Drosophila melanogaster: one gene and its partner. The protein of the gene in region 1 interacts with the protein of each later gene in a biochemical or structural test. Each region holds a gene or a part of one and is shown on either strand. Other genes may lie near its edges. The genes, in order: eIF2alpha and PEK.

Evidence for each region.
Region 2: of the proteins of eIF2alpha (region 1) and PEK, one has a biochemical effect on the other in vitro, tested with the Drosophila melanogaster proteins (one study listed by BioGRID).

What each region holds. Positions count from the first base shown.
Region 1 is NC_004354.4:16,444,606-16,449,100, forward strand, and holds eIF2alpha (eukaryotic translation initiation factor 2 subunit alpha), read right to left. Parts: upstream 2,389-4,495; 5' UTR 2,275-2,388; coding exon 1,580-2,274; intron 1,281-1,579; coding exon 950-1,280; 3' UTR 571-949; downstream 1-570. Other genes in the region: rngo (rings lost), read left to right, coding at 1-153; CG34015 (uncharacterized protein), read right to left, coding at 3,055-3,093, 3,167-3,357, 3,426-3,615; eIF4H1 (eukaryotic translation initiation factor 4H1), read left to right, coding at 4,093-4,124. UniProt on the Drosophila melanogaster protein: eIF-2 functions in the early steps of protein synthesis by forming a ternary complex with GTP and initiator tRNA. This pre-initiation complex mediates ribosomal recognition of a start codon during the scanning process of the leader region.
Region 2 is NT_033777.3:5,458,497-5,466,556, forward strand, and holds PEK (pancreatic eIF-2alpha kinase), read right to left. Parts: upstream 6,258-8,060; 5' UTR 5,937-6,257; coding exon 5,719-5,936; intron 5,400-5,718; exon of another isoform or gene 5,297-5,399; coding exon of another isoform or gene 5,235-5,296; intron 4,625-5,234; exon of another isoform or gene 4,585-4,624; coding exon of another isoform or gene 4,556-4,584; intron 4,314-4,555; coding exon 3,578-4,313; intron 3,515-3,577; coding exon 2,354-3,514; intron 2,270-2,353; coding exon 896-2,269; 3' UTR 67-895; downstream 1-66. Other genes in the region: RpL35A (ribosomal protein L35A), read right to left, coding at 7,212-7,235, 7,304-7,531, 7,657-7,878. UniProt on the Drosophila melanogaster protein: Phosphorylates the alpha subunit of eukaryotic translation-initiation factor 2 (EIF2), leading to its inactivation and thus to a rapid reduction of translational initiation and repression of global protein synthesis.

The DNA of each region.
Region 1 (4,495 bases):
TTCACCGAACAGGATGTCACCGATCTCATGGCCCTTGGCTATCCTCGCAGCGATGTGCTTACCGTGCTGCGCCTGTGCGGCGGTAACAAGCAGGCGGCCAGGTCCGTGCTGCTCCACCGCAACGATGCCGCCTCGGGGAGCGAACTCAGCTGAACGCGGCTAGACGCACAGCCCACACCACCACCTAAAGCCGAACTCCCCATAGCCAGAAACCGGATTGCAATAGGATGATGAACAGACTGGACCCCATTAACTGGAAGCCGTTCCAACGAAATACTCCGAGCAATACCAAATAATAAGCCACGCCACGCCACATATAAAGTCAAATAGGAAATAGTAAGGACTATACACAACCACAAAGCAATGAATACCGAAACGAAAACCTTTCTAATTTAGTGAAATGTTTATAAACTGATGTCACTTTTTTTATACGAATCGTTTGTTACGATGTACAATATCTAATTAGGGTGCTACGCAGCACTACCGGGTCATTTTTAAAGCAGAGGTGGGTTGGTTTTTTCTAGAGAGAATAGTAAGCGATATAATCTAAAATTTAATGAATGAAAATCTGGACGGTGATGGAAACAAGCCGCATCAACGAAAACATGAAACAAGTAAATACAAAAGAAAAACGAAAGAATGCCTGACTATTAAATAATATTACACTTATACACAATTTGAATTAGTATTAAGGGTCTGTCAAGAAAAACTGAATTGGGTTCAATAATAAATGGTCGATAGTATTGTTTTGGATTTGAAAAGAAAAAGATGAGCAAGCGCATTTTGATTTGTCTTCTTGGGCATCTCGCTGTTTTCACTTTTATAAATCTTTAATAGCATTCGTTATATGTTATGTATATAAATTATAAAATTACAACTTCTGATTTTTGCAAAACTCCTTTAATTGTTTGTTACAGTTGCTATAGTTGTGTCTGATGCTGTGGCTACGCTAATCCTCTTCCTCCTCCTCATCCTCCTCGTTCGCACGACCCGCCCCCGATCCCTTGTGGTTGAACTCCTTCTCTGGATCGAACTGCATGCCCTCCTGGTCGGCGCCATCCTCCTCGTCATCGTCGCCAGCCACCTGGGCGTTCTCGGCCTCAGCGCGCTCCAGGCGTCTGGCCAGATCCGCCTCGTCGATGGCCGTAACCAGTTTGGGTGCCATGATCACCTTGAACTCTCCATCGTACTCGCTGGTCTTGGCGCGAATGTGCTCAATGGCCACCTCCAGAGCCTTTAAACCGTCTGTCTTCTTGGTAGTGGATGTGGTCATTACATAGCTAAAAGGATACGGATGAAGAGCGATTACGTTTAGGAACCAATTAACTCATTTAAGCAACATTTTTAGTTATTTCGATTTCACAAGAAGTTGTAAAATTAAATTGAATATAAGTTTTTCTCTTAACCAAGTGGTCATTTACAATATATACAAGATGAAAGGGATTTCCTTATTATTTAACGATAAATTTCGGCTAAAATGAAGAACAGAAATCTACAATTTTCGTATTCTTTTAATTAAAGAAACCCTCGTTAATTTCGTCTACACCAAGGGAAATTACAATAGTTTACAGGTACTTACAGTGGCGGTGCTATCAGGTTGATGCGAATGGGCAGCTCCTCGGTGCTCAGCTCCAGGCCCTTGGTGAGCGATGCCTTGACAGCGTCGATGCCCTCGTAACCGTAGCAGGAGCACTCGATGTCCGCACGGATCTTGACAGTGGGCGAGACCAGCTTCCGCTTGATGTTGCTCAACAGGACCTCCTTGGTCTCCGGTTCCAGGTTGCACTCATCGAAGACGGTGGGATCGGTGACCGATTGCTTGAAGATGTCGTAGGCGACCGTCTTGTTGTTGTACTTCTTCTCGAAGTGCCAGGCGGTCTTCTGGTAGAGATCTTCCAGCTTCTCGTTGCCCTCGAAGCCGAGTATGTCGGCGACATGGCGGAGCAGTGAGTTGATGGCCTTGGCCTTAGCGAAGCGCTCGGTGCACTTCTCGACATCTTCGGGCGAAACGCGACGCTTCGACAGATCGATGTAGCCCTTCTCCTTGTCAACACGGATAACCACCACCGGTTCGGTCTTGCCGACACGAATCAGCTTGTTGATGGAGCGGATGCGCCGGCGGGACAGCTCCGACAGCAGGATCATGCCCTCGATGTTGTTGTACTCAAGCAGATGAACGTAGGCGCCCATCTCGGCGATGGACAGCACGTTCACCATAACGACATCCTCGATCTCCGGATACCGCTCGTTGTAGAAGCGCGACGTCAGGGCCATGTTAAAGTCTGTGGTCTATGGCCAAAAAATGGGCAATTTGGACTTTTCGAAATGAAAAACGTGTACAATTTCTGCCGAGCGGGCGCAAGAAGAAGAAGCGTAAGGTATGACAGTGGTGTTATCGATATTTAATTGCGTAGCCGGCAAAACGTTGCCAATTGGATTGCTTCTGGTCACACTGGAAAGGTGGGGCAGCAGCGGTCTATCGATTGTTTGTCACATGGATTGCCGGTCAATTTCAAATTTTACTGTTTTGGTTTTAATTTTGATCAGAACATTCGAAATAATAGTCCAAATGTGGAATGCCATCCCTTGGCGAGCTTGTTATTTAAATACCAATCAATTTCAAATTGGAAATGTTAATTTTTGTTAAATTTATTGCAATATTACAAAAATTGCGAAAATTGACCCAAAAGTTAAATTCTCAAAAAGTTATATAGATTGCTAATACTGATAAATAGGAATAAAAAGCAGTTGTTCTTTTATCTATATGTCACTTTTTATCCATGTTATGATGATAATTCCCATATGTCAAATTTTCATTTTTCATATTTATCTGTTTAAATTTGCAGAACATTTTAAAAGGTTGCATATTATCGCATACAAAAAGGCCATTAAATATGTAATGACATGTAGCTTGAATCGGTTTTTTTAGAAGCTACACTTTTAATTTAAAGAACATTAGAATATTTGTATAGGTTGGCTCCGTTTATTAGTTAATTATGACAGCGCGCGAGTACAATATATATTTATCTAACAGTTATCTATGATGGTCCCGATCTATTCTTTTTGGGAAAGGTAAATACGCGCCTCGTCGACCTATAATTAAATAGATAAGATTAAATTAAAGCGGGCCTCTAAGTGGTCAAAATCAGAATAGCCAAATACTTACGGTTTTGAACCAAACGGAGGGTCTAAAGATCATCTTAGATAGGAAGGTCATTTGGGTGCGTGGGCTAATGGCATGCATGTGAAGATGCTTCACCGTGATAAACGGCGGCAGATGGAATCCGAAGAGGGCATCATCGACAGAAACTCCCTTGGACACCAGAAGATCCTTCAGGGCGTTCTCCATGAGCTGCACTGTAAGGAATCCAAGGATATCAGAATTATTAGGGCATGGCCCGAGGTCACGCCAATTCCAATCTTACCCAAAGAATCGTGCGATTTGTTAAGATCCTTGAGGCTAGCGTAGTGCTTTTTTGTCACTGCTAAGTAATGGTGCTGGGAAGCGGGTTTAATGTCCTGGAAGATGACAAAGTCATCGTTTTCGACTTCCAAAACAGTGGAGGGGATCCGCCCATCGGAAATTAGGCAGAAAATGCAGTTGTCGTCCGCCATGACTTAATTTTAAGTTCAGTCTATATAAAATATAGCAGTTTGTACTTTCACAGCTGATTAGTTGTACTGTCGATAACGATAAGAACTATCCTGGTGCTCCAAAAAAAAATACCGCTAAATAGATTTTCAGTATTAAAAAAAACCATTTGTGTCCAGTTACTTTTAGTATTATTTTTTTCAACAAAAAAATTTATACAAACATATGTATTCCTCTCTATGTATTCAATGTCATTTTTGAATGTTTCATTAGAAAAGGAACAATTGTAGAATGCTAAACAACTATAAATATTAATCGATATCTGAAAATTGGACGCAATTGGGCATGCGTCCCTGCTAACGACCAAAATACTAAGAAAGGCGGCTATCAGCTAATTGGTGTGGTGACACTGCCCGACCAAATTCGCCGCGATAGTATTTTTCGCCCGTGTGTTCACACTGCGGTTTGCAGCGAATTCGCTCATTTGAAAAAAATAAAACATGGCTGGAAGAGGTGGTTATGAACACGCTAGGTAAATATTATTAATTATTTTTGCAATAGCGTACGCTCCGCGTTGGCCGCGAACCGCCGGTGCTTGTGAAAGTGGACGCGATGCGATCGAATTGCGCGAGTGCCGACAATCTGGGCAAAATGTGTAATAATGCACGCGGTTTTTTGGGGTTTGGGCAAAAAAAAAGGCAACACCAGCCCACCAACACACGCGCACGCTCTCGCCTCGCCGCTCGCACACCCATACAGTAATGTGCATGTGTATTGTACGTGTCGGTCGTTGGTCGCCGACACCGCCGCCGCCGCCGCCTTTGTACGTGCGTGCGTGTGCGTATGTGTGTGGTGTGTGTGTGTGTGTGGTGTGTGTGAGGGGCAGTGTGCGTTTTTTTTTCT
Region 2 (8,060 bases), on another chromosome or scaffold:
GGGTAGAGGACAGATGAAAAGATTAATACCTGGTTTGTAGAAGCACCAAAACAAAGTATTAGCCGTCATGGGAATGGAATTTTTCCTTGATTTTTATTAAGTTGCCTATTTTCCTTAACAGTAAACTATTTTGGCTCTAATATTAATCCTTAAATTTTTTATAAATAGCTCAATGTAAAAAAATGTTTATTCAACAACAGCTAACAAAAAAATGACAAGAATTTTGTTAACCATGAGTTTCATCACCTCTGCGACTTCCCTCAATCAGAAGTACGTACACAATTACTTAGTGGCCTATTGCGTATATCATTTATGTAAGACTTTTCAGCGCCTCAACCAATTTCATTACTACACACAATGTTGCCGCATGCGGCGACTGCTTTAAGGTATGCCAAGCGATTAGTCACAACCATTATCTCTATGGGCAATTAGAAAACATTTCCATTTCTATTTTTGACATTTTTATTTTAATCTTATCGCCTACGACTAAAAACAAACTCTCGCATTGGTTGGGCGGCTACATGGGTAGAAACAAACTAAGACAAACAATTTAGCATCGTAGGTAACTTAGGTAACTTAGGCTAACGACTGTTTAGGAGTACATCTTTATGTGTATGTATAATTCCTAAGGTTAAGTCTTAAAAACAAAAGGACATTTTGTTGGTAATTTGCGACGCGCAAGAGTAAAGGTAAACGTAATACAAAACTTATTGAATCTAGGGTTGCCCGGTAATGAATCTGCGACCTTTACGGGTCGAGGTCAGCGAATAAGGCATAGCCAGGTAAGGAATAAGCGATGGCGATACTGATGACTCACAAGCGAAATGCTATAAGTGACTGAGTTTGGCGCTGACAGAATGGGTGTCCAAGCTCATGGCCCAAATTGTCTGATCTATCACTGATGCGGCTCACTGGAGCTGCTGAAGGTGCGGCTGCGACTCAGGCGCCTGGCCCGCTCCGCCAGCTCCGCCTGCTCGCTTTGTCCTTCCGAGAGGAGATGAGGTAGCTGCAGAATGTTGCGCAGCTGGCTTTTCAACTGCTTGGTCTGCGGGCGTTGCTCTGGCTGGGCGGATAGCATTTGCTGGAGCAAGTCGTACTGCTGCGGGTAATTGACAGCGAAATCCTTGGGATACTGGCCGTCCCGAAGACTGCGCAGTGTCTTGATCCGCTCCATTTCAGTGCTGAAGTACACGTGCAGCTCGAAGAAGATCAGTCCCAGTGAATAGATGTCCACCTTGTAGTCGTAGTGCTGGCCCAAAAGCTGCTCCGGCGACATGTATAAGTGGGTGCCCACCTGCTGGGTGTGGCGGGCACAGGAGGGCAGGCCACTCTGGTCCCCACACTTGGCCACCAGGTTGGGGATATCGGCCATGTCGGTGACGAGCCCGAAGTCTCCAATCTTTATCTGTCCATCCTGCGAGAAGAATATGTTGCTTGGTTTCAGGTCCCGATGAATCAGACCCTTCAAATGTACATAGTCAACGGCATCAACGATCTGGTGAAAAATGTCACCAATGTGGGCAGCCCTTGTTTCCGACCGGTTGTCCCTTAACCAGTCGCGCAGACTCTCCTTGCGGCATAGCTGCATCTGGATGTAGAGGTACACCTTGCTGGGCTTGGCCACCGTTCCGTTCAGAATCGTGGCACTGGAGGGCGTAGGTTGGCTCCCGTTTTGGTTGTTATTGTGATTCTGGGCCAGTGCCAAGGTAAGGGGCTTCCTTCTAGCTTTATTATCGTCATTCGCATCATCACTTCCACTGCTCTTGGGGCGCACAGATTCGATTTGAAACGAATTGGAGACCAGTTGGTGCTGTGAGTAGTTTATGTTCTTAAGGTCAAACGAGGCCGAATGGATGTCAATGGACACGGAGCTGCGATGTCGTTTCTCATGGTCTCCCTGCTGCTCTTCATCCTCTTCATAGTCGTCGTCGGTATCATCCTCCTCCTCTGCCCGTAAAGCGGCTGACTGCGACTCGCTGCGGAATTCAATGAGCGAGTCCTCTTCCTCATCGTAGTCGTACTCCTCGCGTATGTTCTTGAGTGATGACTCGCCTGGTAGATGAAAGTCGTGACTACAAGCGGTGCTATTGGCTGCATCCGAAACCCAGGACAAGAGCTGCTGTTGGCGTTTCTCCTTCAACTGCTCCGTCAACGAAGGCATTGTACTATCGTCCGGCGTCTCTATCTGGATAGAGGTGGACAGCTCGTGGGCAAGCAGCTTGCGATCCTCTTCTTCCTGCCAACCAGTCGGCGGTGTCTCGGTCCAGGACTGGAAATTTTACAATAAAGAGTTTTATCATCAGATAATACTTAAAAACTTAATTTTAACTTTTAAATAGATAGAAGAACTTACATGGAAGTATCGCACGATGTTGTGGTGCTCACAACTAGCCAAAGTTCGAGCCTCGCGAAGGACTCGCTGTCTTGAAGATTCCTTATTGGGTAGCGTTATGCGCTTAATGGCGTATCGGTTCTCATCCAGCTTGTTCTTAGCTTCGAAGACCACTCCGAAACCACCGCGACCAAGGCACTGCATCAACTCGAAGTCGGACTGAAAGCGGGAAGTGTAATGCTCGCCTGAATGAGTTGTAGACTCCGAAATGGTGCGCTGATTTGCTTGTCCAGGTGGGAAGCTAAAACGATTTCCAGGTCGCTGCATCGGCACCACTGGACCTAGTAAAGCCTGTGTGGATGCTTCGGTGGCCTCGATGGCCGTTTGAACAGGCACATGACGTTCAATGACCAGATACTCTCGCTCCACGCGCTGGTTTCGTTGGCCCATGAAAATATTTAGAATCACAGCCGACGTAAATGCTATGACCACGATTTCCTTCCACCAGAACCACAACGACAATATCACAACCTTTACAGGCGCATCAATGTCATCCAAACTAAAGCCCAAATCGTCGTTGACGCTATGGTTTCCAGTAGCTTCCGTTCCCTCAGATGTGGCATTGGTAGGCGATGTTGGAGCTGTGATTGCTGGAAGGTCAGTTGGATTATTCTGCGTACTGCACTCTTGCGGGCCGTTCAGATCGCCAGTGGTGTAGAAGTAAAAACCATTGCCATTGACAAACTCCGATGCATTCAATACGGACTGCGCTGCCACAGCGAAGTTTTCATCATCATAGGGCACCAGTTCCCCTCCTTGTGCCACAGCTCCCTCAGCAATCATTTCAGGGTCCTCCTGGTCTTTCCGGAAGATTACCAGCGATTTGCTACTGGCGGATATCGGCTTCCAGGGAATCCTGGGCATCAGGCTGGTGTCGCCTGTAAGCTGCTGATAGACCTTGGTCTGGTCCATAATCTCCTGGCGTAGACGTATTGACTCCTGAATATACAACTGTTTATCGTACATGCCCAAGTAGATGGATGGCGGGCTTTGTGGCGCATTGGGCAGCTCCGTGTCATTTTCGTCCTGGTCCCAAAGCCACTGGGCCGAGCTAAACAAATCAATAGGCTGCAATTCGTCGTCGGCATTTGTATTCCAGGCACTCACAATTGGGTGATCAAACTGAAAAGCACACGAAAAGTACTAAGTAAATTTGCCTTTAATATTAAAGCCATCACCACTTACCTTGTACTTCCACAGCATAGTCTGTGGCTCACTTTTGCTGAAGGCGCAGATAATTCCCTCGGGCACTACCACCTTTATATCCACATCCAAAACAGCCAGCTCCAGCTCATCGCGCGGCTGTAGCTGGCACTCGGAAGGTCTCACCAGATCCAACTCATGCTGACCTACGCTAAAGTTCCAACGCTCCACTCCGGTCCGGGATTCCACGGCCCGAACCGTTTGTGTCTGGCGGCGGACGATAATAACGTCGTCAAGGAGAGGATCATGGCGCACTATGTAGCCGGCCTCGTCCCTTAACTGTTCTCCGTCCTCCAGCTGATCCTCCTCATCGGGCTCCCTAATGGTGTCGTCGATTGCAAGCCCTTCCTCCGTAGAGTTTACACATCCGTTTAGAGAACATTCATACAGCAGCTGGCCAGTGCGAACGGAAACACCGTATGAGCGTGTCTCCTTGCCTCCGGATATAACCAGATCATCGCTGAATTTGGCGCTCGAGCTGAGTAGGTGCTCCGCCGTGATTGGAATGGGATCGATGGAGTCCCCGTCGAACTTGTAGATGCCGCCGCTCAAAGAGGGAATCATGCGTACGAACTGCCCATTGTTGGTCAGCTCCAATCGATGGATGCTGGACGAGATTAGTGGCCCCGGTCCGGTGGGCACACTCCAGCGCAGTTTGCCGGACTTGGCGATGTCCAGAGCGCTCAGTCGACCATCAAGCGTGGAAATGTATAGGAGTCTGTGGATAGAATAAATAATGCAATACCAAGTTTTAATGTTTTTATTTCCATATTTAATAAATAAATATCGACTACTCCATATTAGCTAATAGTCCATAATGGCGGAATTTGCCAAATTGTTATTTTCGCTAAATGATACCGTGTCAGCGTAACAAGGATTTTGTAGCTTGTGGAATTTAGAGTGGGCGAGGCCAATATGTTTTTAAAAGCCGTTCTTGTTAAATATAAGAATACCGTATACCCTTTATGTAGGTAATATCCAATTACCATGGGCGAGCTTGAAATAAACAAACACAAGATTTTGAAGAAAAAACAAAAAACACAGCATACATAGATTCAAGTAATGATTTGATTTTTATGTAATATTTTCTATTCGTGCAATTAATGTAAAAATTGAATTTTCTGTAAGTGAGTAAGCCTTTGGTTAACTGTTTAAAATATTTCAACTCGAAAGATTAAATACTAGAGTTAAATTTGCAATTATACAAAAAGTTGATTTGTGCTTGCAACCGATTCCGTCACCAGGTACACGGTGCATGGGGCAAGAATAAAGGAAAGCAGGAAAAGGGGCACACTGGCAGACCCAGCTGACAGCGTAGAAAAGGTAAATGGGAAGTAAACTCAGCTGTTTTTGCGCCAAGAAGACAAGAACTCGAGGAACAACAAGTGTCAGTTGGCCCCTCTCCATTTCCCCTATCGCCATCTCTGTCGCGCCCACCAAGGAGCCGAAAATGGCGCCCGCAAAAAGGGGGGATAAAGCAAACGGGGGGAGAATTGTGAAATTCAGTGAAAACCTTGCACAAACGCAAAGGAAAGCAAAACAATCGGGGAAACCAGTTCGGATTGGCATGCTTGCCAAACAACATATCTAGACGTCTGCCTCAAACAAAAATTCAGTTAAGATCTTGCAAATGACTCACCGCATGCTTGATAAGCGCGTCCACTGATTACGGGTTTTCATAGTTGGCCAAGGTGCAAACATGTGGGTTCATATTATCAGATCGCTCCCAGACTTCAAGTTGAACAGAAGCTCTCCGAATTTCTCGTGTTAGACGGGACAAGGTACTTAAAGCTAAGGGCCGTCGCAAATGTTACCAACTTGTCGGATCAGCCGAGAATTTTGAGCTACGTATTTTCACTGGCCCCCCGTCGTACCACAGTTCTCTTCGAATTCCCCGTTTTAGCTGATTAAATAGGCACTTTTCGAGTAGTTCAACCAAATATCACTAACGTGTTCTTCGCAATATTTGCCTAGGTGCTGGCTGCTCGTTTATCCACTTGCACCGCGTTTTAGCGAATGTTCGAGAACATAAACATAACACACACATAACGCACTCTTCTTCTTCTGCTACAATCCATTCGATACCAGTGCATTCCTCCCGATACTTTGGTTAGGGTACGTACCTTCTTGCAACGCGACGCTCCTCCTGATCTACGCAGTGTTCGAGCCCGGGGGGACGGGGAGATCCGGCAGTCTGGAGCTCCGAATCAGTAGTTGGGTGCCCAGCTAGCACCTGGGCGGGATCGAAAGCCACCAGGCCGGCCATAGTGAGCGTGACGATCTGCAGGAAGCTCAGGCTCCGGCGACGATGCCTCACGATGCCATCCAGGTCGTCCTGCATCGTACGCGCATATAACGTAATCCTGGTCGTTGGCGATCGGACGCGGGGAACGGTGCAGAAATGCAAGTCTCTAATTGGTTCGAACGGTGACGTGTTGACCTCACTTCGGGGGGTCGGTTGGTGGAACAGCGGCGGCAGTGGCTCCCGGCAAGGTCGGCGCACATCTCCGCATCACTCTCGATGGCTCCTGCAGCAATCAATCGCAACTCCACTATTTAAATCCACTAAAACTGGTCAGTTTATGTTTTTGTTCCGATTGGGCCGCAAAACGCGCGATTGCAAGTGTGACCGCGTTTTGACAGCCTTAAAATAACAGATGACACCACAATACAGTTTATTTCGTCATTACCTAAAAGTACCAAAAAAATACACACGGTGGGAACAGTTTCACTAAGGTTTTACTATTTTAAACTTTTCCAGTAACTAATTTAAAACAATGTTTGACGCCCATGTTTTGACACAAATAGGGACAACTTAACAATAATTATTAAAGTAGATGAAGTATTATTTCCATCTCATCTCTTATTGAATACTTCTATTATTCGACGTGTTTTAAAAATAAATTCTATTCGGCTATAATTCTGACACATACCAAATGAAATTCAAACATTACTTTAATTTAAATATGCTCTACCTTCTAAAAATATGTTAGGTGGTATATTCGTCATAATATAGAAACGTTTATTACAACATTTATTCTTTTTAAAAAACTTTTGATTACTATGAAACCATTTCCTTGATTTTTTTAGAAACCGCATTGTTGATTAACAGAAACTTGAATTCGTATGATTTTCGAGCAGAAAGGCTACGCCATACACCCCTAGTGTCCTTGCGAAAAGATTCGTTAGTAGTACACACTACAGTATTCGTTGACTTTGGCAATACAAAAAATAGTTTTGAGATTTTCAAAACTAATTAAAATCTATTATGGTAGAAGTGGTATGTCTGATCTAAAGGAACGACATTAGCCAAGAGTCTCGAAATCCACATTCAATTCGTACTCTAAAACGTTTCCATCGTCTTCATCTGCTACTTAAGATCAATATAAATGGATTTTAATGCGAAGTGGATGGTCCCGCCAAAAGATAATTCATTGCAGTAGGGAAAGTCAAACCGAACAGCCATCAATCGATATACAGATTACCGTCAACTTTCAATCGGTATCTCGCCTTAATAAAAAAGCCAAGTTGCGTTTTAATTAAATTTAAAGTGTTTCATTTAATGTAAAACGGATTTTTTACTCCTGCAGGTCAGTAATTCAAGTCGGATATTAACTTAAATCCTTGATGGGTACAGCATCTGCAAGAAAAAAGAAGGCATGTTAATACAACCCAATTGTCGGACAGAAAAGGTGTGTTTGAACTAACGATGCGGATGCGGTGGCCCATGGCATGACCGGGCAGGTTCCTGTTGAAACGGGCACGCACAGCGCCGGTGTTGCCGTGGATGCGGGTGACCTTGCCCCAGACAGCGCGGACGCGGGTCTTGCGCTCGGGATGCTGCGGCACGCACTTCTTGGTCTCGGCCTTGTAGACATAGACGCAACGCTTCCCAACGTAGAAGGATCCGTGCTCCTTGCGGCGGGCGCCCTCAATCTGCAATGTAATATGTTGGTTAATCAATTACATTACTAAAATGTTTTTACAGAACTGGAATGTATTAATTATTATTTGAAAAACTCTGTGAAGTCCGGACCCATCACATTGAAGTATAGACATACCTTGAGGATGGCCTGGTTCTCGTGCTGGTTCCTCAGACCACGCTTGTAGCCGGTGAAGACGGCCTTGGCGAAGAGGCGTCCGTGACGCTTGTACTTCTTGGCGGAAACTTTAGCCTCTGAGGCGGCGGGCTTCTCGGCCTTAGGCGCCTTGACGGCCTTGGGAGCCTTCTGGGCCTTGGCGGCCTTGGGCGCAGTAGTGGACTTGGCTTGTGTGTCGGCCATGGCTTAGCTGTGGATGAGAAAAGATAATCTTTAGAGCCGTAGGCATTCATCATAGGTATTCGTTGGGGCTTGAGGGTTTCGATCATTTGCATGCATTTGATTAAACGAAAAGTACTTTAAACATTGAAGATATTGAGGTGCACAGCTCTGGGCAACAGTACATTAAAAACATCATTTTATAT